Rattus norvegicus: one gene and its partners. The protein of the gene in region 1 purifies or fractionates together with the protein of each later gene. This does not show direct contact. Links are inferred from orthologs where the notes say so. Each region holds a gene or a part of one and is shown in the gene's direction. Other genes may lie near its edges. The genes, in order: Nop2, Nifk, Ftsj3, Rpl11, Nop56 and Srpk2.

The links.
Region 2: the proteins of Nop2 (region 1) and Nifk fractionate together in Homo sapiens (co-fractionation; 3 studies listed by BioGRID, with this or other methods). This does not show direct contact. The link is inferred for Rattus norvegicus from reciprocal best matches to the Homo sapiens genes NOP2 and NIFK.
Region 3: the proteins of Nop2 (region 1) and Ftsj3 fractionate together in Homo sapiens (co-fractionation; 3 studies listed by BioGRID and IntAct, with this or other methods). This does not show direct contact. The link is inferred for Rattus norvegicus from reciprocal best matches to the Homo sapiens genes NOP2 and FTSJ3.
Region 4: the proteins of Nop2 (region 1) and Rpl11 fractionate together in Homo sapiens (co-fractionation; 3 studies listed by BioGRID and IntAct, with this or other methods). This does not show direct contact. The link is inferred for Rattus norvegicus from reciprocal best matches to the Homo sapiens genes NOP2 and RPL11.
Region 5: the proteins of Nop2 (region 1) and Nop56 fractionate together in Homo sapiens (co-fractionation; 3 studies listed by BioGRID and IntAct, with this or other methods). This does not show direct contact. The link is inferred for Rattus norvegicus from reciprocal best matches to the Homo sapiens genes NOP2 and NOP56.
Region 6: the proteins of Nop2 (region 1) and Srpk2 purify together in Homo sapiens (affinity purification with mass spectrometry; 3 studies listed by BioGRID and IntAct, with this or other methods). This does not show direct contact. The link is inferred for Rattus norvegicus from reciprocal best matches to the Homo sapiens genes NOP2 and SRPK2.

The regions. Positions count from the first base shown.
Region 1 is NC_086022.1:159,617,506-159,622,017, forward strand, and holds the start of Nop2 (probable 28S rRNA (cytosine(4447)-C(5))-methyltransferase), read left to right. Parts: upstream 1-1,460; 5' UTR 1,461-1,568; intron 1,569-1,778; 5' UTR 1,779-1,783; coding exon 1,784-1,889; intron 1,890-2,693; coding exon 2,694-2,739; intron 2,740-2,887; coding exon 2,888-2,976; intron 2,977-3,576; coding exon 3,577-3,755; intron 3,756-4,512. UniProt on the Homo sapiens protein: S-adenosyl-L-methionine-dependent methyltransferase that specifically methylates the C(5) position of cytosine 4447 in 28S rRNA. Required for efficient rRNA processing and 60S ribosomal subunit biogenesis.
Region 2 is NC_086031.1:31,944,751-31,949,151, forward strand, and holds the start of Nifk (MKI67 FHA domain-interacting nucleolar phosphoprotein), read left to right. Parts: upstream 1-1,395; 5' UTR 1,396-1,427; coding exon 1,428-1,532; intron 1,533-3,091; coding exon of another isoform or gene 3,092-3,094; coding exon 3,095-3,229; intron 3,230-4,401.
Region 3 is NC_086028.1:91,684,076-91,688,609, reverse strand, and holds the start of Ftsj3 (pre-rRNA 2'-O-ribose RNA methyltransferase FTSJ3), read left to right. Parts: upstream 1-1,430; 5' UTR 1,431-1,467; intron 1,468-1,551; 5' UTR 1,552-1,577; coding exon 1,578-1,644; intron 1,645-1,812; coding exon 1,813-1,918; intron 1,919-2,380; coding exon 2,381-2,427; intron 2,428-2,528; coding exon 2,529-2,608; intron 2,609-3,156; coding exon 3,157-3,256; intron 3,257-3,341; coding exon 3,342-3,536; intron 3,537-3,629; coding exon 3,630-3,745; intron 3,746-3,836; coding exon 3,837-3,941; intron 3,942-4,020; coding exon 4,021-4,121; intron 4,122-4,264; coding exon 4,265-4,345; intron 4,346-4,433; coding exon 4,434-4,534. Other genes in the region: Psmc5 (26S proteasome regulatory subunit 8), read right to left, coding at 346-417, 1,019-1,042.
Region 4 is NC_086023.1:153,557,725-153,562,287, reverse strand, and holds the start of Rpl11 (large ribosomal subunit protein uL5), read left to right. Parts: upstream 1-1,485; 5' UTR 1,486-1,827; coding exon of another isoform or gene 1,828-1,854; coding exon 1,855-1,978; intron 1,979-2,924; coding exon 2,925-3,031; intron 3,032-3,230; coding exon 3,231-3,362; intron 3,363-4,262; coding exon 4,263-4,373; intron 4,374-4,563.
Region 5 is NC_086021.1:137,928,625-137,933,298, forward strand, and holds the start of Nop56 (nucleolar protein 56), read left to right. Parts: upstream 1-1,554; 5' UTR 1,555-1,610; coding exon 1,611-1,613; intron 1,614-1,772; coding exon 1,773-1,862; intron 1,863-2,170; coding exon 2,171-2,285; intron 2,286-2,446; exon of another isoform or gene 2,447-2,515; intron 2,516-2,624; coding exon 2,625-2,786; intron 2,787-2,933; coding exon 2,934-3,132; intron 3,133-3,243; exon of another isoform or gene 3,244-3,375; intron 3,376-3,443; coding exon 3,444-3,631; intron 3,632-3,714; coding exon 3,715-3,866; intron 3,867-4,036; coding exon 4,037-4,137; intron 4,138-4,199; exon of another isoform or gene 4,200-4,285; intron 4,286-4,477; coding exon 4,478-4,626; intron 4,627-4,674. UniProt on the Homo sapiens protein: Involved in the early to middle stages of 60S ribosomal subunit biogenesis. Required for the biogenesis of box C/D snoRNAs such U3, U8 and U14 snoRNAs. Part of the small subunit (SSU) processome, first precursor of the small eukaryotic ribosomal subunit.
Region 6 is NC_086022.1:12,428,059-12,432,732, forward strand, and holds the start of Srpk2 (SRSF protein kinase 2), read left to right. Parts: upstream 1-1,684; 5' UTR 1,685-1,852; coding exon of another isoform or gene 1,853-1,878; coding exon 1,879-1,916; exon of another isoform or gene 1,917-2,432; coding exon of another isoform or gene 2,433-2,494; intron 2,495-4,674. UniProt on the Homo sapiens protein: Serine/arginine-rich protein-specific kinase which specifically phosphorylates its substrates at serine residues located in regions rich in arginine/serine dipeptides, known as RS domains and is involved in the phosphorylation of SR splicing factors and the regulation of splicing.

The DNA.
Region 1 (4,512 bases):
GGAGCTGGCGGGCTGGCTGCCTTCTGGACCCTGGCTTCTCCCCACCGTGCGCCTGTTACAAACTGTTGTGGGTTCTGCCAGGCTTGAAGAAAATGATCTGAATTTCTTCCTCTTTTTGGTTTTATTTTGTTGGTTTACTTTGTGTTTTCTCCTTTTGGGGGGTATTCAGAGTGGGCCGGGCCCCTGGGTGAGACACAGCTACCTCTGTTGGCACCTTTTTAATACCAGGAACCCAGCGGCTCCAGCCACTGAGCAGCTAAAATAAAGTTGGAAAAAAAAAAAAAAGAAAAAGAACCAAAAGCATAAAAAACCACAGCAAATTTCTTGATGAGAACTGAAAATAAAAGTTTCCTTGTATTTTAGTGATCTGGTTCTATGTGGGTGAGTGTGGGTTCCAGATACCCCAGGAACTGGTTTAATCCCTGAAGACTGCAGCCTGTGTGCCTGTGCTTCTGCCGGGATGACAGTCTGTGGAGAAAAAGGCTTCTGGGCCATCCCTTCATAGGCTCTGATCTCCCTTGCAAATTGTCTCCAGAGCCCTCCTGCATGAAGTAGTCACTTGCCTGGCAGAGTTGTTAAGACATTGGGCAAGCAATCTATCATGGAAACATTTTCTACACACACAGACATACATATACATACATAAATATTTCATTTTATTTTTTGAGACCAGGGTCTAAATACAGCCTGTCCCTGCCTCCCAAGTGTGGGAATTAAGGATGTGTTACCATACCCTCATCTTTCTCAGTGATTCACCTTCCCTTAGTTTATTGTTACTGGTTTTTTGGGACAGGGTTTTTTGAGTAGTTCTGGGTCCAGGAATTCCAGGCTGCCTTCAAAACTCGTGATCCCACCTGCCTTTACTCCCAGAGGGCTAGGATTAGAGTGAACTACTACTCACTTATATAGTTTGTATATAGTATTACGTTTACTACTGTGCACATGGAGGTCAAAGAGCAGCTTGTAGGAGTTTGTTCCCGACACCCACCATATGTGTGGATTCTGTATTCAAAACTCAGTTCGTCAGGCTTGGCAAGCGCGTTTATCCGCCAAACCATCTCTCGAGCTTGTAAGGTTTTTAACTCTAATACTGCTTTGAAGGAAGGACGAGTACGTTTTGCTAAGTGAAAAGGGCTGGAGGGAGGATTACCTCTAAGGAAAGCAGCTCTAATCTTTGGGAACAGGAGGGCGGAGGCGTGGGATCCCGCGATCTTGAGGTCTAAGGCAATTAGGGTGCCAGGGGGCAAGCTCTAGGTGGAGGGAGCGTGCGGCCTTAGGAGTAACAAGCAGGAACCCGCGGGCAGGAGCCAACTCCCGAACTGAGGGCAGAGAAAGCACGAGCGCGTAGCGGGGCGTTTACCTCTGTGAACCGCGGAAGGTGCGTGTTCCTGGATCAGGTCCGTTCCGGTGCTGCGGCAGGAAGAGGCGGGGCGTCGTCCGGAAGCTTTGCGCGTAGTTCACTTTCGCGGTGTGCTGCCTCTGAACTCTTCCCCAAGTGCACGTGGAGCGGGCCTTGGCTGGAGGCACTGGGTCTGCCGGAACCAGTCCTAGGCAAGCCGAGCCTTCAGGTGCGTCCGCAGGATTGAGGAGCAGGGTTTCGACCTGAGCTTCTCGAGAGGGGCGTGGTGACGAGGTCCTGTGGGAGAGCCTGGAGGACATCGGCGTTCCGAGCACTGGTCCTGGGCCAGGCGGTGCTTCGTCCCAGATAATATCCCTAAGCCTGCGTTCCCTTTTCAGCATCCCCCAACGTCGCCTTCCCTCATTTTTCTTTGCTCTAGTTATCATGGGGCGCAAGTTGGATCCTACGAAGAAGGAGAAGCGTGGGCCCGGCCGAAAGGCTCGAAAGCAGAAGGGTGCAGAGACCGAACTGATCAGATTTTTGCCTGCAGGTGAGAGTCGTAGCTCCCTGATCCCGCCCAGCCTTTGCTCCATTTTGTGTTATAACTTCTCGTTTGCGTGTCCGCTTTTACCTGTTGCATAGATGTGAGTTGTTAGGAAATAAATCGCCCGTGTTAAAGAAGGTAGCATTGGGAGTTCGTGTTCTATTTGAATGGAAGGTGCAATATATAGACATTGGCAAGCCACAGGCTCATGAAAGAGATCCTTAACTCTGTGGACACATGGTCTCACTTCATCGAATTTTAGAGTCGTGGGAGAGAGGCTCTGTTAGGTCAGGTGTCTTACACATACTAAGTGAAGAAGGATTTGTTTCTGTAATTTCTCTTAAAAAATAACAAAGTTAAGTTCTACTTTATTTAGTTGATAAATGAATAAGCTGAGACTAAGAGGAGGGCAGAAAGGGGGGTTTGAGGTTACATTGTTATCAGATGACCCTGCTTGAATTTGGTTGCTGACCAATCTGATGACTGCTTCATCTCTTCTACATCTTTTGGTCTTTTTTAATTTTCTGGAAGTGATGGGGATAGGATGGGCTTTCCTCATACTCAGCGCAGGTTGTATATTGGCCTTTCCTTAACATCTCGATGTAACTCCTAGTTCAGTGTTACAGAGTGACTCCCAGAGTCTATAACCTTATGGCTTTCCCGGTGCTGTGGGTGTACTAGGGGGCTTACACATACCTAATGCTATCACTGCCACACTTTAGTTAATGTGGTAATCTCTTCCTGATCACATTCCTGCCCCAGTTTGTTTCCTATCACTTCCTAATCTGCTCCTTTTTAACAATAAAACAGCTGGTGATGAGAATTTCAAGAGGCTGTCCAGTCGTGCTCGGAAGAGGTGAGTGGATGCCCAGGTGTAATGAGGATTGGAGTTGCTTGACCCATGGGTGAAGAGGGCTGGTCGTGCATTGTCTTGTTTCCTTGTGGTGGGAGGTGGCAGAACCCACCCTTGTGTTCCCTTGTCTTCACTTTCTGTCTTCTTTCAGGGCGGCCAAGAGGAGGTCAGGGTCTGTTGAAGTCCCTAAGCCAAATAAGTCTCCTGGGATCAAAACATTGCCTGGAGAGTTACCCAAAGGTTAGTGAACATGGGAGTTGGCTGCTCTGTGAAGAATCGACTGGCTCTTGGAAAGGGCTAATTGTTTCTACAATGGAAGGAATAGCAAAGATCTCTTTTTTAGACCTCTTCTTGTTTGTTTGAGATGCTGAGGTAGTTTAGTGGTTAAGAGACAGGTTTCTCTGTGTAGCCCTGGGTATCCTTGAAGTTACTTTGTAGACCAGGCTGACCTTAACTCACAGAGATCCAACTGTCTCTGCCTCATTTATTTTATGTGCATGAATGAGTGTCTTGCCTGCGTGTATGAATGTGTGCCATGTGGCTGCCTGGTTCCAGTGGAAGTCAAAAGAAGGCACCAGGTCCCCTGGAAGTAGAATCCGTACCATGCGAGTGCCAGGATGACGGCTCCTAGCCTGGGTCTTCTCTCCAGCCCTGTCTTTACTGTTACTCGTTTGTGTCTGCATGTGTCTGCGTGCTCATGAGTGGAATGCTGAATGCACTCGGGGATGGAGATGGGTCCCTATGAGCTGTCAGATGTGGTCTAGAAAGTTGAGGCTCGGGGGGTGTGAGGCAGGTGTGTTTGCTGTCCACTCAGGGTCTGGCACACCCTACCGTTTTTAGGAGCAGTCCAGGTTCGAGGTAAGAAGCGTCCAGCACCAATTCAAAACAGTGATGGGGATGAGGAGGAAGACTCTGAGGAAGAAGATGTGGTGACCCAGGGGGAACTTTGGGGCTCTGAAGACAGTAGTGAAGATATGGTGGACGACTATGGAGCGGACTCGGAGGATGAGGAGGAAAAGGTGAGTCACTTCTGGGTATTCTCAAGTAGATCTTTCTGTTTATTTGAGCTATTGTCCTACTGTGTAACCCTGGCTGTCCTTGAACTCAGAGCTCCTCTTGCCTCTGCCTCCTGAGTGCTGGGACTAAGGGTATATGCCACCACACCCAGCTTGTTTGTTCTTTTGAGACAACGTATCACTGTGTAGCCCTGGTTGGCCCAAACTCTCAACTGTGTAGCCCACAGGCCTCTTAATTTACAACTGTCATACTTTAGCCTCCTGAGTGTTGGGATTACAGGTGTTTGTTACCATGCCTGACTGAATCTTAGCCTTTTAGTCCCCAGACTGGCCTAGAATGTGTACTCCTCCTGCCTAGGCCTCTCAAGTGATGGCACCAGGGTGTGTGCTACCATGTCTAACTTGCTTTTTAGCTTTCCAAACTGTAGGCTCCTTGAGAGACAAGGACAGTCTGAGTGGAGTAAAGGGTTCTGATGATCCATCTCAGCCCTCCCAACTTTGAAAAGCACTGTCGGCTTTTTCAGATGTATGTGTGTGCTATTGTCTGCCTACATGTATGTCAGTGCTGCAGCGCCTACAGAGACAGGAAGAGGGGTGGAGCCCTCGGGAACAGAATTCCAGGCCATCTTTTTTTTTTTTTTTTCTTCAGTTTATTTTATGTGTATGGGTGTGCTGCCTAATTTGGAGGGTGGAGAGATGGATCAGTGGCTCAGCACTGCAGAGGACCTAGGTTCAATTCCTAGCACCCACAATGGGTTGA
Region 2 (4,401 bases), on another chromosome or scaffold:
ACACCCATACTCATTGACAGGCGTACACACAAAATCAATCAATCAATTAATCTATAAGTAAATAAACAAATGGAGAAGACAGAAAGACAGTTTTTAAATATTTATTTATTCCATGTATATGAGTACACTGTAGCTGTCTTCAGATACACCAGAAGAGGGCGTCAGATCACACTACAGATGGTTGTGAGCCACCATGTAGTTGCTGGGAATTGAACTGAGGACCTCTGAAAGAGCAGCCAGTGCTCTTAACCACTGAGCCATTGCTACATCCCAAGACAATTATTTCAACATAAGAAAGTCTTCAAACTTCTTTTTTTGTGTGTGTGTTTTCTCAAAATTCCTATTGTGTTATCTAAAGAAACCTACTAGGGAGCTGAAGAGATGGCTCTGTGGTTAAGAGCCAAAGGACCCTGGCTCACAGTCCTTAAGTCCATGTTCTGATACCCTCTTCTGTCCTCGGCACACACATTACACATATAGGGTACACATACAGACAGGCAAAACACTTATCACATAAAAATAAAATAAATAGGGACTGAACAAGTAGTTCACAGTTAAAAATATTTTCTACTATTCCAGAGGACTTGAGTTCAGTTCCCAGTACACTGGGCATCTCACAACAGCCTGTAATTCCAGGTTCAGGAGATCCCACACCATTATTCTCTATGGTCACCTGAATTCCTGAACACATAAAGACACATGTATAATATCAAAAATACAAATATATGTTGCACTATGTTGTGGAGATTTCCATGGTGAGGACTGGTGGAATTTCAAGTCCTGAACCTGAGGGAACTCAGGGACTGGTGGAACTTTTTTCTTGTATGCCAGAGTCTGGTCACTCTCCCACTTCTGGGCGGTTAGAAATCGTTAGGGATGTTAGGGAAAGAGGGGGACATGTGGAGATTTGGGGAGGCTGGCCATTGAAGCTCCTCAGGCAGGGGCCTGACCACTTTCCTGCTTGAGTGTTTACAAAGTTTACAAAAGGAGTCCATGGCAGGAAGACTTTCCCTATTGCTTGTAGGCCTGACTAGCCAACAGACATGGATAATGTTTGGGACTTGTAAATTTGTTTTGAGTCCATGGAGCCCAGGCCGTGGTCGAACTATGCATATGAGAACCGCTTTGAACTCCTGATCCTCCTGCCTCCACCTCCCAAATTCTAGGATTACAGGCGTGGGGCTCCAGTCATGGTTTATGCAGAGCTGGGCAAGCACTTCACCAACATTAGCCTCCGAATAATTTTTAATCCGTCTTAGAAAGTCTTTTAGATTGTGGTCAATAGGTGGCGCTCGAGGTCGTCCAATTCCAAACACCAGGGCTTGCTCTTCTTGCTACACTCCCGCCTCTGCTTCCGCTTCCGAGTAGTGAAAAGAACGTCACTTCCGGAGGTTCCGCGTGGATTAACTTGTTCGTGCTTCTCCAGTATGGCCGAGTATTCAGGCCCTGCGAAGCCGACTCTGGCGTTGAACCCGCGGGAGGACTCGCAGTTTGAGAAGGATCTGACGCAAATACAACGGCGCGCGAAAAAGGTGAGCGGCGGGGCTCTCTGGCCGCGCTGACTCGGGAGCCCACCTCTCACGGGCTCTGGAGACTGAGGCAGGCAGGGAATCGGTGTGAGGTTTGACCCTTTAGGCCCTCAGGGCTCACGTGAAAAAGGAGGTGTACCACGTGTGGGGAGCATGGCACCTCCAATTCCCAAAATATGTTAAAGCTGTCACATTTCCGCTTTGGCCCGCAAAATGGGGGTTCAGAATGAACCACAGCATTTGGAAGGTATGTATGTCCCCTTACGTTGTAGTGCTTAGTAGACGGAACAGACAAATCCAGGTCCTTGGACGAGCGGGGAAGCAGGAGGATCGAGAGTCAGAAAACAGCTCGGGCTCAGTATTCAGACCAGAGCTTCGCCAAAGAAAATAGGGATTACAGCCTGCCAAGCTCTGTTCCCAGACTGCCCCGAAAGGAAGTTTATATCCCCTTTGGTTTTCAGCATGAGGTGCACTGGAGAGAAAGGAAGATTTTCTTTCTTGTTTTGCTGTTGTCCTGGCGGGGGTGTCTTTTGTGCGGGTTGTTTTTGTTACAGTGTCTTTGTAGAGTTTTTGTAGCACAAAATTGCATCACATTTGCCGTGCAGTCTAGTCCTTGAACCATATATCCACTGGGATTACAGGTGTAGGTCACTATAGGTCACCCAGTACCCTACCTGATGGGAAACAAGTTCTTGTTCTCTAAGGTGGTGACAGAAGTATAGTCTTCACTGTGAAGGTTAATCGGAAATGATTCGATGTAATAAGCTGCCATCTGAGTTCAGAGTTGAAGGTCTTGGATTCGGAGTGACAATGACAGACTTTCACTTGATTGTCCATTAAGGAACACATGTGCCGACTGCTTTGTAGGGACAGGTGGGTGTGCATGCACACCACGGCACACATAAGTCTGTCTCTGCAGAGTCTGTGGCTCTGTGTGATTGAACTCAAGCCTCAGGTTTGCACAGCGGTGCTTAAGAAAAGAGATACAGACACCTAGTTTTTCAGTTTCTGCTGTGATAGAGAAATGTTCCCGGACCAAGAGGAATGAAGGGTGTTGAAAATTTTGTTGCAGGCCAGGTAAGGTTACATTTACCTTCAGTCCAGTGCTGGAGAGACAGAGGCAGGCAAAGCTCTACCTATCCTCTGAAAGGACTTTAGAAAGCTGGGGGGTGGTGGCACACACCTTTACTCCAGCACTCAGGAGGCAGAAGCAGGTGGGTCTGTGTGAGTTTGAGTCTGGCCTGGTCTACAAAGCTAACTCCAGGACAACTAGGGCTACACAAAGAAACCCTGTCTCAAAAAAGGGAAAAAAGACTTTAGAATTAAATTTTTCTGAAGTTAAGGAATGGTAACATACCTTTGTTGAAAAATAAAGTCCTTTGCAGAGAGCATAGTAATGCCTTTACTCTTAGTATTCATGAATTAGAGGCCAGCCTGGTCTACATAGTGAGTTTCAGGCCAGCCAAGGCTCCATAATGAGACCCAGGTCAGAAAAAAATGTGTATATACAATGTTTTGGTGCAGTGTGAATTTTTTAAAATGTTTATCTGTTTTGTCCTCAGCAGAAGAAGGAAGAAAAACTTAACTCTGGAGTAGTTTATCTGGGGCACCTACCTTCAACGCTCTCTGAAAGCCACATCTATGACTACTGTGCCCAGTTTGGCGATATTAGAAGATTCAGATTGTCCAGAAGTAAGCGGGTAAGATTCTGTACCTGAATTCAACTATGTTTATTTTGCTTGTCAATTGTACGGCCTCCTTTGTATTCATAGGCAAAACTTTGTTACCTACAAAGTTCCTACTTGGGAACTCTTCACAAGCGAAGCAGCATGGTGGCTCATACCGTTCGTCCCGGCACTTGGGAGACAGATAGGTAGACCACTGAGTTTGAAGCCAGTCACAGCTACATAATGTGGATTTCTATCTCAATAAAGAGAGAAAAATAATGAGGCTGTGGAGATAGCCCAGTTTGTAACTGTCCATCTACAGAACCCAGGTCAAAAGCCAGATATGGTCACATACATGTGTAATCCCAGTGCTAGGAAAGTGGGAATGGGGTTCCTGGGGCGCACTGACTAGCCAGCTCAGCCCAGCTCCAGCCCAGTGACAGGGTGACTGAGACCTGGGGAAATGGCCCAATGGTAAGAGCACTCGCGCTCTAAACAGGAAGTAGAACACACACACACGCACCTTTTCCTCAAGCACCAACTGAAAGGCCAAGTGAGCCCAGTACTGGGAGCTGGAGCCTGGATTGTAGAACTTGCTCCCAGCCAGTTTAGCCAAAACAGAAGTGGCAGGTCAGTTTTTTGGTTTTGGTTTTTGGTGGGTTTTTTTTTGTTTTGTTTTTTGTGAATTTGCTTTTACTGGGGCTTAAATCATGCGGTGGGATTTGTCTGTGGTACCACACCAGCTTCTTAAGGCCTGTTGCCCACTGGTTCCTCCCTGGAAGAGAATTTCCAACTCTTGGGGTTTCTGCTGGTTGCCTTTCCTAGTTCTCTGAACAATCCTTTCCCTTGGGAGACTTGTGCTGCCCCACCTGTCTCTACCTCCCTCCTTGGAAACAAGGTGTTGTTTTGTCTGAGTCTTCCATTTCCTGAGGAGGCTCCTGAGCTTTGGCTCTTGGTGGGTTGAGTTTCGTGGATCCCTTCTGGAATGTACCTGCTGTCTCCTGCAGGTGCCCTGGCTAATACAGCCAGCAGCTTTTTTTCCTTTGTCAAGTGTTTGTCCAGCTTCCTGATAATCTTAGCAGCCACTGCCTCTGCCTGAGTCATAGCTGCTAAATTCTGTAGACTCCACAGTCTCACGGAATGGCTACTCCTCACTTGCTCCAGAGGCCTCTCCCCAAATAACATCTATGGGCCCCTCTAAGAAA
Region 3 (4,534 bases), on another chromosome or scaffold:
GAGGAGGGGCTGGAGAGGCGGCTCACCAGTTAACAGGGTTTACTGCTTTTGCAGAGGGCCTGGGTTTAGTTGTCACTCTAAGTGCCTGGGAAAGATAACTATCTGTAACTCAAGTTTCAGGGGATCCACTGCCCTCTTCTGCCCTGCGCAGGCACCTGCATACATATGATGCATATAAGCTTACGAAAGCACACATATACACATATGCATAATAAATTAACAACTGAAGAGCTACAAGAACGACACTGGAAAAGAACACTTTGCTGCACTCCCAGTGGAAAAAGGACGTTGAGAAATCTGCACCTACCAGCTAGCTCTCAAGCTCCCTCTGGTGTCTGGACTTACCTGGAGTTCTTCAATCTTGGACAGATAATATTGACGGAGTCCACTGCCTGCCTTCCCCTCTTCCAGTTCCATCTGAAGACAAGTGTAATTGTTAAACAGTTACGTAAACTACTAAGGGATAAAGCCAAAGTATTTTCAGGGCACTTTACCATATAGCTTAAGAAACAAGGCCAGGAAAGTATCATTCCCTTTTCCTCAGAAACTGGTTATCTCCATAGGTGAGGTCTGTGTGTTTGAACTGCAAAGGCTTAGTTATTGGTTCTAATCCTTCACTTTTGAATCCACTAAAAGGATGCAATTACCGCCTACCTTCGAAGACTTTTAGGAGGCTCAAGGGGCCATATACTTACAGAGCGCTTTGCTCTGTGGCAAGAGCTATACAAACCCAAGGTGTAACTACTACAGACAAAGGCAGAACAGAAGGACCAAGTCCAGGTCCCACCCAGGCCATTCCGGCTTGCCTAGCTCTTCATTCAGTTTTTACCCAGCCCTGTCCTGCTTACCGCGGGTGGCGCTGACACAGCAGATCCAGTTCCAGGCAGGGTCAAGTCTGACGTGGTCCACCCACCCCTGATCCACTCGACCCTTTTGCTAGTGGCCACCCCTCAGTTCAGATTTTGTGCACTCCACACTCGGCTTGGATGCCGCCCTGACGCCGCGGCAGAATCCTTACCTGCTCTGGCCCATCAAGCGCCATCTTCCCTCCTTCGGCAGGGACCGCCGGCATCCAAGTCACCCTATTGCGCAGGCGCGGAGCCGAAAGCGTGCGACCTGGGTCACGACCGAGAACAGTTCCGGGTCAATGGGCGGGGTGTGTGGTGAGACAATAACAGTGGCTTTATTACAGGCTCTACTGGCGGTTAGTAGGTTTGTAAAGAGATATATAACTTATGGCGGATGCTTCCTAGAGTCTAGGGAGTAGTTATTGTACTCTACTTCCTAGCCTCTACTTTTAACTTGCAAGACACGCTGACAAAATTTTTGGCCACACTCAAAATGGCGTAAATCAAGACGCTAGGAACACAGGGAGCGCGAGCGGAAGCGGAAGTACGATCACTACCCACATGTGCTACTTCCCTAAGTGTTGAAAACCTGCGGAGTTAAGGGCTATCTAACGTCTCGGTAAGTGATTGCTTCGCCACCCGAGGAACCGAAGCAAAAATCCAGCGCTCTGAAAGATATTCTCAACTTTTTCTTTCTCCCCAGAGTGAGTGATACTACCCCATCCCGCCATGGGCAAGAAAGGCAAAGTAGGCAAGAGCCGGCGGGACAAGTTCTATCACTTGGCCAAGGAGACCGGTGAGTGGGTTTGCGCTGCGTGAATAACATATCAGCCTTTACGCTTTTTCTAATATTGTGTTCCTTTTCCTTAGGGGGAGGGTGATGGGGTTGTGAGGCTGTGGAAGTCCTCTTAGAAAAGGCATCCGTAGACGTTATTGTTTTATACATCCACTCCCTACGGTCTAGGTTATCGTTCGCGTTCTGCCTTCAAACTGATCCAGCTCAATCGCCGCTTTCAGTTCCTTCAGAAAGCCCGGGCCTTGCTGGACCTGTGTGCTGCACCTGGAGGATGGTAATATTTGGTTGGCAGGGACTGCTTGTGATGATACGTCCCTTGCACTGGCTGGCTTTGAGTTGCTTTGGGGGAGGATGGAAATCCGATTATACAATTCAGATTAAATATTCCATAGCATGTGTCTCTCCTAAATTTTGGAAGTCAGTGTCATTCTTTTTTCCCCTCTCGTGGGACTGAACCTAAGGACTTACTCATGCTAGGCAGTCGCTCCACCACCGAGTTATATCTCCAATCTGCTTTCTTTTCATTGAGACAGGGACTCTCAGAAATTGCCCAGGCTGGCCTTGAACGTTTGGCCTTGATAGCTGGTAATGCAGCCCTGTGTTGCTACGCCCAGCAGCTTGCTTCTTGAATGTGTGCATAGACAATTTGGCCAAGACACTTAACAAGTGCCCCTTAAGAGGCTGGGAAATCACATTGCCAAGGGATGAAAGGTATTTAAACCTGTCTTTTCCACAGGCTGCAGGTGGCTGCCAAGTTTATGCCTGTATCCAGTCTTATTGTAGGTGAGTGACTCTTGGGTATTTGAGGGGGAGGGGTGGGAGAGGTATTAAATTTGTCCTACATCTCCCTCCACCCTGTAATACACCGACTTAACATCTTAAAGGAGTGGACCTGGTTCCAATCAAGCCTCTCCCCAATGTGGTGACTCTCCAGGAAGATATTACAACAGAACGCTGTAGGCAGGTAATAAGATCTCTCCTTCATTCCCTCTTATGTGCTGGCGCCCTTGCCTCCTGAAAGTGAGACATTTCCCAATTTACCATGGTTTCAAGTGCATGGCTAAAGAGACCGTGACAATCCTGGTCACCTTTCCATCTTTACCTGTTTTTTATTTCCCCTTTTTCCCTTGAGATAGAGCCTTGCTGGGTACTTGGGATAGTTTCTAACTATGTAGTTAGTCCACACTTATGTGGAGCTGGGTCCATGGCCTAGTTTTGCCTTGATCTTCCAGTCTGTCTGCCTCTTGAATACTGGGTTCCACGTGCCACCAAGCCTGGCATGGATAGTGCTGTGAACGGGTGGAAGACTCTTTGTTCAGTAAAGTTCTTTCCAGTGAACCAATTCTAAGCTTGGCAAAGATAGGTTGTGTTGTTGTTGTTGTTGTATGCCTAGTACCTGGCACTGTGATGCCAATGGTGGGCACTCACTCTGACTAGACGGATGACTGAATCAGAATTCTGTTCTTAGCAATCATTGTGTTTCCATTGCTACAAAGCCTTTACTTTCATTAGGCCCTGAGGAAGGAGCTGAAGACCTGGAAAGTTGATGTTGTGCTCAATGATGGGGCTCCCAATGTGGGGGCTAGTTGGGTCCATGATGCTTACTCACAAGGTACAGGGAACGTGGGCTTGGAGGGGAGGGTGGAGGTGGCGTGCCCTAAGGCTTCAGGGGTTCACTGGCTGTTTCTGTCCTACAGCTCACTTAACTCTGATGGCTCTGCGTTTGGCCTGTGACTTTTTGGCCCGTGGTGGTTGTTTCATCACGAAAGTCTTCCGCTCCCGAGACTATCAGCCTCTGCTGTGGATCTTCCAGCAGCTGTTCCACCGTGTCCAGGCCACCAAGCCCCAGGCCTCTCGTCACGAATCTGCAGAAATCTTTGTAGTCTGCCAAGGTAAGACACAACCCCTTCCTCTTGACACAGCCTTCTAATTATGAAAGCATACCTTTAATCTAGCAGAACTTTTACTCTCTCTTCTCATTTTAGGATTCCTGGCTCCGGACAAGGTTGATGCTAAATTCTTCGATCCCAAGTTTGCCTTTAAGGAAGTTGAAGTTCAGGCTAAAACTGTCACTGAGTTGGTGACAAAGAAGAAGCCAAAGGTGTTTTTATTGTTATTATTTTGAGAAACTGGGAGAACTTGATATCTTAGAATCGACTGTCTAGTAATCATCTTTTATTTCCCTTCCTAAGGCTGAAGGCTATGCTGAAGGTGACCTCACTCTGTATCACCGAACCTCAGTCACTGACTTCTTGCGAGCTGCCAATCCTGTTGACTTCCTCTCCAAGGCCAGCGAAGTGAGTTCCTAGATTGAGAGTCTATAGGAGGCCCAGAAACAAGGCCAGAACAACGTCCCATTCTTTCCCTCACAAACAGATCTCAATAGACGACAAAGAGTTGGCACAGCACCCAGCTACCACTGAAGATATCAGAGCATGCTGTCAGGACATCAAAGTGCTGGGGCGCAAGGAACTTAGGTACACAGGAATAAGGGCAACACTATGTTGGACTCTGGGGACCAGGCTTGTGTTAAGTTTATGGCTGAAGCCTGAACTCTGGCGTGTGGACTTTAAGAAGAGACAAAGATGGAGAAAGTAAGATAACAGTATTTCTTGGGCAGGTCTCTACTGAATTGGAGAACAAAGCTTCGGCGATATGTGGCCAAGAAGCTGAAAGAGCAAGCCAAGGCACTGGACATCAGGTAAGGAGGAGGTGACCAGGGCTAGGGATGGCTGGGTATCGGACCACTGTCTGGGAAAAATAAGCGAATCTTTGAACTGGTTTGTCAGCCTCAGCTCGGAAGAAGAAGGTGATGAAGAAGAGTCAGCAGCTGAGACAAAGCAGGCTTCAGAGGAGGAAGAGGAGAGAGAGGAGGAAGAGCAGCTTAACC
Region 4 (4,563 bases), on another chromosome or scaffold:
AAAAGTAACAACTTACACACTTCACTACTTCACTGAATTTTCACAGTAACCCGTGACACTGAAGTACCTATTTTTTTTTTTTTTTCCCGGAGCTGGGGACCGAACTCAGGGCCTTGCGCATGCTAGCAAGCGCTCTACCACTGAGCTAAATCCCCAACCCCCTGAAGTACCTATTTTACACAAGGGGAAAGAAAACAGACTGAAATCATTTAAATTAGTAACTAGTAAGTTGAATTAAAACCACACCTGCCTGTATTCACAGCTCAGGACTCTATTTTCAAATTTTATTTAGCATTTATTAGTTTATCTATATGAAAAATTTTCCCCCCGCACATGTGTTCTTGCAAGTGTGTGTCTGGCGTCCTCGGGAGGAAGGCAAGGGCATCAGACTGTAACAGCTGATTTAAGCCACTACGCTGATTAGTATAACTTCTATGTTAACATTGTTACAAAATAAATGCCCTAGAATCTGTACAGTTTATCCTTTTACTTATGTAAACGAGTGTTCTATCTGCATGTACACCTGCATACTAGAAGAGGGCATCAGTTTAGTTGATTGTGAGCCACCATGAGGTTGCTGGGATTTGAACTCAGGACCTGTGGAAGAGCTGTCAATGCTCTTAACTACTGCACCATCTCTCCAGCCTCAGCTTATTTTGAAAATTTTGCTTATTTTTTTTTATTTATATGGGTGTTTTGCCTGCCTGCCTGCATAACCTGGTGCCTGTAGATGCCAGAAGAGGGATCTGTCTCCCTGGAACTGGAGTTACAGCCAGTTTTTTTTTTTTCTCCTTCGGAGCTGGGGATCGAACCTAGATGCCTTGCGCTTGCTAGGCAAGCGCTCTACCACTGAGCTAAATCCCCAACCCCAGCCAGTTTTGAAATACAGCGTACATGCTGGGAACTTTGCAAACCAAGGTCCACTTAAAGTACGGCTATGACTCTGTTCTTGAAGTGATGGACTCAAGAACATACCAGTCTACCTGGTTTTCAAAAGACCTGGTCTTTAGCCCGAGATGACTGCAGTTCCGAGGACGATCCACTAGAGGAGGCAGCGCCAAGACAACCGTGCCTCTCTTTCCCACTCTCACCTCGTTTGTCAGCCTAGGAGAAAAATCCCGCCTCCTGACCCATAAGGCCACGGGGCCGGAAGTCCCACTCTCTCTTCCTGTTCTCCACCATGGCGGTGAGTAGAGCAAGAGTTGCTTTTGCCTCTCTTTCATCCATCTCCATCCGCGGCCGGCGGAGCCCACGAGGGCTGTTTCGCCGGTGGCTGGAGGAGGACGGAGCCCGCGATGCTGGTGGCATTAAGACCGGCAGGGCTGTGCGGGCGCAGGGCTCGCCCGTCACGTCGCCGCCCATCGTAGGAATGGGGCTCAGGTCAGCGGCCCCGAGGGCCCAGACGCGGGGTCTGGGGGCTTCCGGGAGCGCGAGCGGAATGTGCCGAGCTCTCTGTCGGGTCCCAGCCCAGGGGACTTGAAGCTTGTTTGGTGCTGGGGAGCATCTGCGGGTCCCTACTCAGGACTGGTGCTCGCTTGCAGACAGCTTGGGAAGGAGGAGGGCAGGTCGCGTAGGCCGATGTTTCCTGTAGTTTGTCATTTTAAGGTTACATTGTATTCTCTCCTGTCTGATTGGCTTTCTATAAGCTCTTGTGTCTATTACCCAGAAACATCGACCGCCTTAGCATTCAGGCTTACTCAGTGCTCCTCCGCCCCAAACACTGAGACCTTTTTAGTCCTTAGTCCATAGGATTCGGGACCGTAGAGATCAGACTGGAGAAGACATTGGCTTCTCGACTTTGACGGCTGCGTTTACTCTTTTCTGCAGCAAGATCAGGGTGAAAAGGAGAACCCCATGCGGGAACTTCGTATCCGCAAGCTCTGCCTCAATATCTGCGTGGGGGAGAGTGGAGACAGACTGACCCGAGCAGCCAAGGTGTTGGAGCAGCTCACAGGCCAGACCCCTGTGTTTTCCAAAGGTGAGTGGTGATGGGCTAGCCAGAGAGGCGTGGATGGAAGGCCTCAGTCCATCTAGCCGGAACAGGAGTGCGAATAGGGAGCTAGAGTAGACGTGTAGTATTCCGCCTGGTTGACAGGTAAGAACAGGGTTAATACATTACACTGCTGGGGTGAGAGACTATCCGTTCTTATTCTTAATATTCATGTTCGTATCTGAGTACTCTGTTTGCTTGACAGAAGAGGGCGTGAGATGTTGTTATAGATGGTTGTGAACCACCATGTGGGTGCTGCTGGGATTTGAACTCAGGACCTCTTTAAACCACTGAGCCACCTCTCCAGCCCCCTATCAGTGCTTCTTAACTTTAGGCTCTACCTCAGCTTCCTTAAAATGAATTCTGATTCCCTTGTGTGGCCACATGGGAGGTGTTAATGTGCTTGAAACATGGGGTCTGTTGGGAGTGTGGTTATAGGTGGTCTGTTGTTGGGATTGGATACCCTTTCTTAGTACCACCGGTGAGCCTGGGCTAGTTAGCCTCAGGACATCTGGACAGTCGGCCTTTTGAAAATACTAGCTTTTACCAATGTCAACCTCCCAGCTTGTCCCTTCCACACCCCATTCTGGATTTTGAATGCAGGTTCCTGTATGATAGAGCATAATGTTAAGCTAGGCCTGGTAGCCTATGATTGTAACTCCTGTACCCGGACTGAAACAGGAAGATTGCTCCCAGGTCAAGGCCAGCCTGGGCTACATTTGACATTCTCAAGGAGTATTAACGGTGCTAACCTTTGTCTCTGACTTGCCTAATGTCATGAACTCTGGGGATTGTAATGTTCTTAGCTGAAGTGCGGCTGGGGACATTAGAGCTGGAAAGCTCTGTTCTGTGTTGGTGGGTGAGGTTGATTAACACGTTAGATGCCGGGCAGTGGGAGTAAAATGTTACCTACCTCTCTGTTCCCTTCTTGCAGCTAGATACACCGTCAGGTCCTTTGGCATCCGGAGAAATGAGAAAATCGCTGTTCACTGCACTGTCCGTGGAGCCAAGGCAGAGGAGATTCTGGAGAAAGGCCTGAAGGTGAGGTGGGCTGGCCTGGAAGTGGGGAACATTTGATGGATGATGAGAGATGATTTGGTTTAAGGGAAGGGTTGCCTGTTCTCCTGGCTGGGATGCACAGAGTTTTGGTTTTGCTCCGGACCTTCTGGGTGTTGGTCTGAGCTCATACTATGCTCTTTAAACACAAGGAATAACCTGGTTGCTCTTTATGTCTCCTCAGGTGCGAGAGTACGAATTACGGAAGAATAACTTCTCAGATACCGGCAACTTTGGCTTTGGGATTCAGGAACACATTGACCTAGGCATCAAATATGACCCAAGCATTGGCATCTATGGCCTGGATTTCTATGTGGTATGTGGAATGTGGACTTCTTGATCCCAAGCTGCCTGTGGGGAGAGGGCCTGCTGCTCCTCTGTCTGTTGTCCGCACATGCTGTCTTGCTGTTGGGATGTAGTGCTGGGTTGAAGTCTGTGTCTTGTCTGCCTGTGTGTCCCCCTTGAGAGAAGGGCCTTGTTCTAGCAAGTGTACAGGTTCAACCACACAGGGTTGACAGGTCTCTGCTGTGCAAAGCTCTCTGGGAGAAACCTGTGCTGCCTTTGTCCCTGGCATTGGCTACCCTGTCTCCACTCATCCCTAGTCTCTGGCACACGTGAGTTCTGTGGGGAAGACATGGAAACAGACTGTGCTCAAGTGGGGTTTTCATGTGGAAATGACTCTGTTACCACAGTGCTTCTGTGAGAGCAAAGAGCCAGACGTAAAAGTGAGACCTGAGGGGGAGGTCGGTTAGGGCGGCAGAGCTCTGGGCAGCTTCTGAACCAAGGGGGTGAGTGTGCCTTTGTGCCTTTGGGTGCTTTACATTTCTTCACATTACACATGTTGAAGGTTTTTGTTGTGAGGCAGGGTCTTTGGTTTACAGCCCAGGCTGGCCTTGAACTCCCTGCATGTTAGTATTACATGTGTGTCTGGTGCCTAGAGGCCAGAACAGGTCAAGGGAATCAGATCCCTCTTGAGACTGACGTTACAAGGCTGGAGACCAGTTGGGGAAGGAGCCTGCAGGGCATGTGTGTTCAGAGCTTGGTGTGTTGTCCGGGTAGCTAACGACACTTCCGTCCAACAGAGGTACTGGTCTTGCTTCAGAATCTGTTAAGTTTCTGGATGACTTGAAGATCGGTCTCTAATGTGTGAGTCTTGTCTGTCCACTGGTGACCCGGCCCTAGGCTGGCTAGATGACTGTTGGTTATTCTGGCACAGGTGCTGGGTAGGCCAGGTTTCAGCATCGCAGACAAGAAGCGCAGAACAGGCTGCATTGGGGCCAAACACAGAATCAGCAAAGAGGAGGCCATGCGCTGGTTCCAGCAGAAGGTAAAGCTGATTTCCCCCAGTGAACTGGTGGTGTGTGGTGCTGGTGGCTGGTGTTGGGTGGGAGCTCTGAACACAGTGCTGTTGGGTGGGTAGCTTGTGGAAAGATTGGATACTGGGGTGACTTCGTTAAACGGCTCCCAGGGTTGGTGGTGGAAAGGTCTTGAGTGTAGGTGTCTGGAGTCAGAATTGT
Region 5 (4,674 bases), on another chromosome or scaffold:
TAGTGACTTAGTTTTGAGATCATGAACCAAAATGCAGTAATAACCATATCTGTAAACAATACTGAGATTATTATGATTTAATCAGTAATGCTTAATATAGATTTATAAGTGCAATAAAATGAACTATGTGCTTCCAATTTTTTGCTGTTGAAACACTTTACTCAGAGGGCTGGGGAAAACCTGGAGAAATCCTGTCTGCTGTCCTGCATGGGGCAGACCTTGGAGATCTCCCAATCTCTCTGTGCTTCAATATTTAAAATGTTTATGTGTATGAGCATTTTGCCTACATGTATGTGTGTGTACCACATATATGGCTGGTACCCGTGAAGGCCAAAAGAAAGCAACAGATCCCCAGGAACTGGAGTTACAGGTAGATGTGAGATGCTATGTAGGTGCTGAGAAGTGGACCTCGGACCTCTGGAAGAGTCATCAGTACTCTTGACCACTGAGCCATCTCTCTACCCGACGAATGAATTCAGTAAATTCACTGAGTTGAGAAAACAAATCAGATACAACTTATAAATGTGCCTTATGGTTATAAGAATTTTCAAAATCCCTTTAGGAGTTGCAGTAGAGTTCAGCTGGTGGAGGCCCTGCCTTGAATTCGCTAACAGATACACAGGACTGGTAGAGGTTCAAAGAGCATACACGTAGTCAGCTACAGAGCCGCCAGAAGGTGGGGGGGAGGGGTAAGGAAGGGAGGAAAGGGAAGAGGGAAAAAGGAAGAGTGAGGAGGTGAGGAAGGATGAAGGAAAGGAAGAGGGGAATGGAAAGAAAATGAGGAGGGAAGGGAGGTAGAGGAGAATCCCCTTAGCATTATTATTTTCTTTAAGGCACAGACTAAGAGGCAATCAAGTTTGGGACTTAAAATGCTAAAACTAAAGTTATGTGGGTTTTTTTTCCTCTTTAAAGCAAGAGTAATTTTAAATTAGATACCTTGGTGTGCCAACAAATGACATTGTTAAACAAGAAAGCAGCTTCTTGGAAGGATTCAGGGCCCACTCAGCCATGAGCACCACGTGGTGCCGAGCAGAGCTCGGTTCTATGAAGCAGGGCAAGGAAGAGAACTAGCAAGAGGTAAACCGCCATTATCTACGCCACTGCCCGCACCAACACTTTTTTGAACAACAAAATTTAAGAGGAAGACGCAGGCAGCAAGGAGCCGCCATTTCTGCAGCGTCGGGGACCGGGTCCCAGGCGGAAGGCGAGGACCAGGACTGTCTGGGCAGCGGGAAACCGACAAAGTTCATCAGGGAGCCTTTCGTTCCCTCACCGAGTTCCGCCTCCCGGCACATGGGTAAAAAAGCACGAAAAACGGAGAAGAATGATCTCCAGGCTCTGCGGCCTGCCGGTAAGACCGGCGCCATTCATTCCCGACACAGTCTCAGCTCGCTCAGGCTCAGAGGCCCAGATGGGCAGGCCCGCTCGCGCCCGCGTAATCCAACCCGCCCGACGGACGATACCACACCCGCAAATCCCTCCGAAGACCTAGTAATGGTTCCGTCCCCAGCCTCTGATTGGTCCAACAGGAGAAGGCGTGGCCTCCGCAGTCTGGTTCCGCGCGCCAGAGCGCGCTACCCGCATTGCGAGCTGGGCACGGAGCAGGCGCCATGGTGAGGAGTGGTTGTGGGTTATTTGCGTTGTGAAGGCCTCAGTGTGCGTCTGGGTTTGCATTCAGGTTTGGGCTCGGAGTTTGGGCCAGGGCCTGCTCTAGCAGCGGCCCAGCGGACTCGGAAGTTTGACTAATGGCCGCGCGCCGGTTCCCTTTTCAGGTTCTGCTGCACGTGCTCTTCGAGCATGCGGTCGGCTACGCGCTGTTAGCGCTGAAGGAAGTAGAGGAGATCAGCTTGCTGTTGCCGCAGGTGAGTGGAATCGGTGGGCTCGTGGTGCTGCAATGCAGCCCCTAAGGCCGCCAAACCCCAGCATGCACCGCGTGTTCCCACGTGGCCGACCGCACCGAACGGGGAGGGGGGCAGAGCTGTAGAACGAGGGGACTCTAAGGCTAATCTATATAATAGGAGAGGTTGTAGATCAACATCTCATACTCTCATTTCTTAAGAATTAGAGTCCGGATGCGGGCCTAGGCACCAATTGCTACAACAGCTGGTGTTCCTGCTTTACTGCGCGGTAGAGGCCAAATTCAAAGAAAGCCCATTCATCCTCTCCACAGGTGGAGGAGTGTGTGCTTAACCTTGGCAAATTCCACAATGTCGTTCGTCTGGTGGCCTTTTGCCCCTTTTCTTCATCCCAGGTTGCCTTGGAAAATGCTAATGCTGTGTCTGAAGGTGAGCTCCCCCCCCCCCCCAGGGATGCGTGTTTCTGAATGGCTGATGATTTTCTTCTAAGCTTGATAGATTCTAGGCATTATTTGAGACCTACAAGATGGCAGTTTAAAACAGTTAAATGCTTCACAATTGTGCTCCCGGACCTGTGGTTGAGTCAGGCTTTGCAATGATGACTTGAAAAATCTGTCAATCCCCTGAGTGATCGATGATGACTCCATGTTTCTGAGCAATGCCTGAAGGGATGGGTGTTCCTGTATGGTCGGAGTGGAGGCACAGTCCTTCCTCTGTTACAGTTGGGACATTCTTCGTCGCGTTAAGAGCTGTGTTCTTTGTTCCAAGGTGTTGTTCATGAGGACCTCCGCCTGCTCCTGGAGACATACCTGCCATCTAAAAAGAAGAAAGTACTTCTGGGGGTCGGAGACCCCAAGATCGGTGCTGCTATACAGGAAGAGTTGGGGTACAACTGCCAGACTGGTGGTGTGATAGCTGAGATCCTTCGAGGTAAGAGTCCTGTTCAGTGTGTTGCCTCTACCATGTGGATGAAGTACCACAGAGGCCAGGAGAGGGGCTGCTGGTTTCTAGTAAGCAGCTATGAGTGGTTATGTGGGTTCTAAAAGGTCCTTAACCATAGTCCTGCCTTCTTTTTAGGGGTTCGTCTGCATTTCCATAACCTGGTGAAGGGTCTGACAGATCTTTCTGCTTGTAAAGCCCAGCTAGGGCTGGGACACAGCTATTCTCGTGCCAAAGTTAAGTTTAATGTGAACCGGGTGGACAACATGATCATTCAGTCTATAAGCCTTCTGGACCAACTGGATAAAGATATCAATACCTTCTCCATGCGTGTCAGGTAAGGTGCAGAAGCCACCAAACACTGGTTTTCTTCGGCCTAGTTTAGCTAATGCAAACTTAAGGTCAAGCAAGGCTGATAATTTGTGGGTAGAATCATGGACCAAAGCCAGGCCTCCTTGTGCTTACCACAGGCTGTGTTCCTACACTGACTGTATAGAAAGAGGAGGCAGAATAAACTACCCTGTGTACACCTCAGCCTAGGCCACCATGCCTGGTCTGTATTGTGAATGGGTAGACAGTGATTTGAGGGAGCCTGGGACCTGAGATCAGGTTTGACAGCTGGGTCAAGGTGTGATTGTCCCTCTGCAGGGAGTGGTATGGGTACCACTTTCCAGAGCTGGTGAAGATTATCAACGACAATGCTACATACTGTCGCCTGGCTCAGTTCATCGGGAACCGCAGGGAGCTAAATGAAGAAAAGTTAGAGAAGCTGGAAGAAATTACAATGGATGGAGCCAAGGCTAAGGCCATTCTGGATGCCTCTCGGTCCTCCATGGGTCAGTGCGGAGCGAGGCAGCCCGTATAAGGTACGAGGCTCCTTGAGTATCTGGTCCCCCTGTTCACACTAGGTGTTTCCTAGGCATGGACATATCTGCTATCGACTTGATAAACATCGAGAGCTTCTCCAGTCGTGTGGTGTCTTTGTCAGAGTATCGCCAGAGCCTACACAATTACCTTCGCTCCAAGATGAGCCAAGTAGCCCCCAGCCTGTCAGCCTTAATTGGGGAAGCGGTGCGTCATGGGGAACACAAAAGTGGGGGAGTAAAACATAGCATTCTGTACCGCTATACTTGTGGCTAGCATGCTGTCCCTAGTTGTTGCATGGTGGGGAGGAGGAGAGGGGAAAGAGTGGTAGGTCAGGTTTCTGTCCACTCACCTGCCCTCCTTGGGTCTCTCTCCAGGTAGGTGCACGTCTCATTGCCCATGCTGGCAGCCTCACCAACCTGGCCAAGTACCCAGCATCCACAGTGCAGATCCTTGGGGCTGAAAAGGCCCTGTTCAGGTACCAGTGAGGGCGCCTGCCCATGTCAGGTGCTGCTTCTGGTGTCCACTGCTTTGTTTGGGGATTACAGTGATGGCTGACCAGGACTACCTGACCTATAGAGGCCTCTACTATGGGAGTGATGGCCAGTCCTAGTGTCTGAGTGATTCCCAGGGCCCAGCAAAAAGGGACCAAGTTTCCAGGTCAGCAAATTGAATGCCTTCCCTCTCTGTCTCTGGGAGCTAGGTTGGCGCACGTTGAGGTAGAAAGTTCAGCCAAGTCTGGTGGGAAATTGTAAGAGGGGAACTTGACCGTTTAGGTCAAGTCTTCTGACTAAACTGTTCACTGAATATTCTCACAGAGCCCTGAAGACAAGGGGTAACACACCAAAATACGGACTCATTTTTCATTCCACTTTCATTGGCCGAGCAGCTGCAAAGAACAAAGGCCGTATCTCCCGATACCTAGCAAACAAATGCAGTATTGCCTCAAGAATTGATTGCTTCTCTGGTATGGATGGGGAGGTTGGCATTTGAGTGAAGGGGTTACATTGGGGGG
Region 6 (4,674 bases), about 150 Mb from region 1:
GGTTTTATCTAGACATAGTAAAGTAAGAACTTAAAGAGACTCTCTTTGCAATAATGGTGGTTCAAGCACAATCTCATTCTGAAACATCCAGTCAAAAAGCGTAGCGTGCTTGGGGTGTGGAGTGAGCTTCCACTTACAGTAGCACGCTGATTAAAGCACATGGCGACACTGATGATGCTCGGGGCAAGAAAGTGGGCTTAAAATTGTGGAAGCAGCAGTAAGGCGGACAGCCTGTGCCTCGTTGGGTCCTTCAGTAAGTGTGCATCAAGGGGAGAAGGGCTGTGTTAGCCGGTGGGAACAGGCTCCCAGGGTCCCCACATGCCATGCCTGACTCGCCTGGGCTTTGCGTGGATTATTTAATTAATTCTCCACAAGTAGAAATACTTATCCCCATTTTATAGATGAGGAAATAGAGGCTTTAGAGAGTATGGGCAGTTTCCTGAAGAGCCCATGGTTTTTGAAAGTGAAGTGTTTCTAAGTCCCATGCAGAGATGTTTCTCTTTTGAAATGAGGGGAGCCTTTACTAAAACAGTTTCCCTGTAGCCCCTGCGCTGGGCCCTGTAATTTACCTCAGAATTCTCAAGGTAAGTTTTATTATTCTAGCAGTTTAATTTTATTATGTCTATGGGATGAGGATATATGCTTAAATTAGGAAAATCCCTTAACACTGGGAGAGAACTTTCCTACTTTTATTTTTTCCTTACGTTTTTTTCATATTTTAACTCTATTGCTGTAGTCAGCATTTTAAACCATTGTTTTGTTTCTAGGAAATATGCGTGCATGTGTGCATGCTTACCCTCCCACCCCCGACATTATTGAGGTCTGCTTTGAAATTCTGACATCTTATAGGTTTCCAGTGATAACAGTTTTAATTTTAGTATGTGGACTTTTTATTACAAATGTATATTGTAATTAAAAAAATAGAGTGAAAATACTTTTTAAGAACAGACAAAAGAGCCTTTCCCACGAAGTGAGAACACCGGGGTTACTCAGTGGAGATACTAAGTTGCTGGTGTGGTTTAAGGCAGCTCGCTATATTTACCGTGTCTTTTGCCTTTGCTGTGCTCTTTTCACTCTGGCCTGTAAGTTCTTCTCCTACCTAACTTGGTTCCAACAACCATCTTTTAATTAAATTGAAGTTGCACTTAAATTTCTGATGTAGGTGGCGTTGCCAGTCCTTCCTAAAAGGACAAGAATATCCTCTCTGCACGGTACCTGGGTGTTGCTGTTCACTGTGTTCTGTGAAGGAGGAGGGGAAAGTGAGGTGTAAAGAAGTCTTTCTGAGAACATTAGGGACCGATGTTAAATTTGATTAAAAACAATCAGGAAATTATAACATTTTAATCATTGAGTTGAGGTTTTGGCTTAATATTTCATTCTTAAGTGACAGAAATGATTCACTGAGCCATATTTTTTAGGGCCAATCAAATAGAAGCAGCCAGGGGTTGCATATCTGTTCATTGCAGATTGAAACATTGTAATTTAGGCTTCTCAAATTATTTAGTATATTGAGTTTAGCTGTTAGCATTTCATGTTTGTGTTGTAATTTGTTCAATTTGAAACCTTTTAATAAAACCCGGGTAGTTCTACCTTAAAAAAAAAAGGACACCCCTCTGCTTAAAGGAAGTGGTGCTTCCTGCTTTCATAAACAGTCATGTGCATAGCTTAGCAAGGCCTGTGCTCTGGAGCGCCGTCCCTTTACAGCACCATTGAATCCCAGCCCGAACAGAAGTACTGTGAATCCTGTGGCCTCATTCTGAACAAAAGGGATTAGGGAAGAAAAATCTCTTGATATAAGGCTTGTAAGCAAGGGCGGGCAATCTTGGTTGTGAATATTTTCTGATTTTTCCAGAAATCAAGCAGAAGATTGAGCTGCTGATGTCAGTTAACTCTGAGAAGTCGTCCTCTTCAGAAAGGTACAGCTACATCTCTTGCATGAACAATTAATGGGGCAACATTGCCAAGAAACAAACAGGACTTACCTTTCCCTTGTCAAGTTTGCTATGGAACGTGTTGTACTGCATGCTGGCGTTGTGCTGGATTGAAGATGTGTATTTGGGCAAGCCGTTCTGCTTTGCGAGGGGAAATTGATTTTTTTAGAAAAACAGTCAGTCTAATCAGCTGCAGCATGCGCACCATAACACAGCAGATCGCTGGCTCAAGTGTGGCAGCTGCTGAAAGCTTAAAAAATAATTTAACCAAAAAAAAAAAAAATCTTGCTTTTTAAAGGACGTAATGAGATTTTTGTTCTTGTATTCTGAGGTTGCTGGTATATAGAATTCCCAAGGTTATTTGTAAATATCTAGCTTAAACAGTTGATTTTTTTCCCTGTAATAAGTCTATATATATTTTTAATGAACAAAGGGAGTGCCATTTGTACGTAGCTTAGGAATGCAAACCCACAGATTAGTCACATCTGAAAAAGAGATCTGATGTTTCTTCAAGTGTCTGCCAGGGAAGAGTCCCTGCATGCAGTGATGGTTCACGCCTGCAGGTAAGGACAAAATGACTCACAAGTATTTTTAAAGCAGTTATTTTATCTGTCATTCTTAGGATTATACCTGTAACGAGATGTTTCATGAAAATTACCGTTTTGCCTCATAAGCAAAATTAAGATAAAAATATCTGCTGTAAGAAATGAGACTAAAGTTCCGTATTTTGATAAGTAAATTCTGTGTTCACTTGTGTTTATTGAAATTGTGAGTATACAGTATGTATTCAGAGTGTTTGAGATTGAGGTTCTCAGGCAGACAGTTGATGGTTACCTTTTCCTTTTCCCTATCTTACCAATTTATAGTTAATGTTGACAACTGTATTTAAGCCATATTGATTTATCTTTTCTACGGCTAATTTTTCAGCATTGTTGTTCGTAGATTGAAAATTTAGGAAAATAACGTGGAAAATTAAGTTGGTGGTAAAGAAACAATACAGGAAAAATATTGTTAAAACCAAACTAGAAACTAGCTGATCATCTGAGGCAGAATGTGTGCTAGTTTCAGGAGGCCAGCTCTGCAGGGAAAGAGGTGACTCCGACTTCTTAGTGTTATTAGGTGAAGAGCTTCTGTTACAACTTTGGTTACACGTGAGGATGTAACTACATTCTGTAGAGACTGAAACTAAAAGGTAACTAAGAGGTTTTGTGCTTTTTTTCTTGACCCTTGTAACTTCTGGTTTGTGGCTAGCCACCTGATTTCACTCATTCTGTTTGCTGGGCTACAAAAGGGGCCTTCAGCTTGGGGAGTATCCTGCAGAAAGCTGCTGTGGATGGGAACGTAGACAAGGGAGTGCGCTGAGAGCCGGCTAAGCATCAGCTACAGAGGGAGAGTTTGCTACTAGCACTGTACTTAATGAGATGACCACATAATTATGCATCCTTCCCGGGTAGCGTGAGTTTTTATTGGTAAACTGATGGGGGAATACAGAAGATCGCTCTCTCTTAAAAACAAGTTAACTTTTTCTCTGACTAAAACTCAGTCTATGAAAACGTGCTCTACAGTGTTTCCATGATTTTACTTAGGCTATGTGGTTATTTGAAAGAGAAGAGAGCACCTGTTGTCATAACTACAAAGTTTTGAGACAAGTGTTGTTGACGGTGACTTTGTGCAGCCTGCCTTGCTGGTTTTAGTAGGTGCCTGAGTTGTATTAAGCAGGTGTGATAGTCTCACTGAGGTGATGAGTATGATTTATGCATCAATTAAAAACTTTGTAAGCATAAAATGTTTAATTAATTTAAATATATTAAAACAAAATGTGCCTTTTCTCTCCATTTCATTAAAAGCTGTATTGTTTGATTTTTTAATTTATTTGAAGCAGTGGTTCTCAACTCTAATGCTGCCCCCTTCAATACAGTTCCTCAAGACCCCCAACCATAACATTATTTTTGCTACTTAATGTTGCATAACATTAATCTTGCTACTGTTACAAAGTATAATGTAAATATCTGTGTTTTCTCATGGTCTTGGGTGACCCTGTGAAAAGGGCTAGTGACTTATGGGTTGAGAATTGCTAATTAAAAAAAAACCCGTAAAAGAATAATCTCAAGTGTAAAAATTATCTAGGGGTTGGGGATTTAGCTCAGTGGTAGAGTGCTTGCCTAGCAAGCCCAAGGCCCTGGGTTCGGTCCTCAGCTCCAAAAAAAAAAAAAAAGAAAGCCTATTAAAAAAAAGGGGGCTGGAGAGATGGCTCAGTGGTTAAGAGCACCGACTGCTCTTCCAAAGGTCCTGAGTTCAAATCCCAGCAACCACATGGTGGCTTACAACCATCTGTAATGAGATCTGATGCCCTTTTCTGGTGTGTCTGAAGATAGCTACAATGTATATAACAAATAAAGATTTTTTTTAAAAAAAATTATCTAATACCGATGTCTTATCCAGGATGTGGATGTAATACCTTGTAGTGTCATGATAGCACTCATCACATTTTTCAATTAGTGTTAGCCAGTTATTATACTTCTAAAATACTTTATTTGAACTCTTAAAAAATGACTTGGTTTAAAAAAAAGAGAAAAATAAATGGGTTACAGTTTTTTTCACAGTAGCTTAAGATCGTTGAGATTTTCCTAGGTTTTGGCAAGGCTCCAGATGCCTGTCGGGAGGTGGGGCAGAGCAGCCTGGTTTCTTTTTCCATAGAGGGAGAAGCTGTGTCACCAGAAGGGATCACTCCTGTACCCTGTCC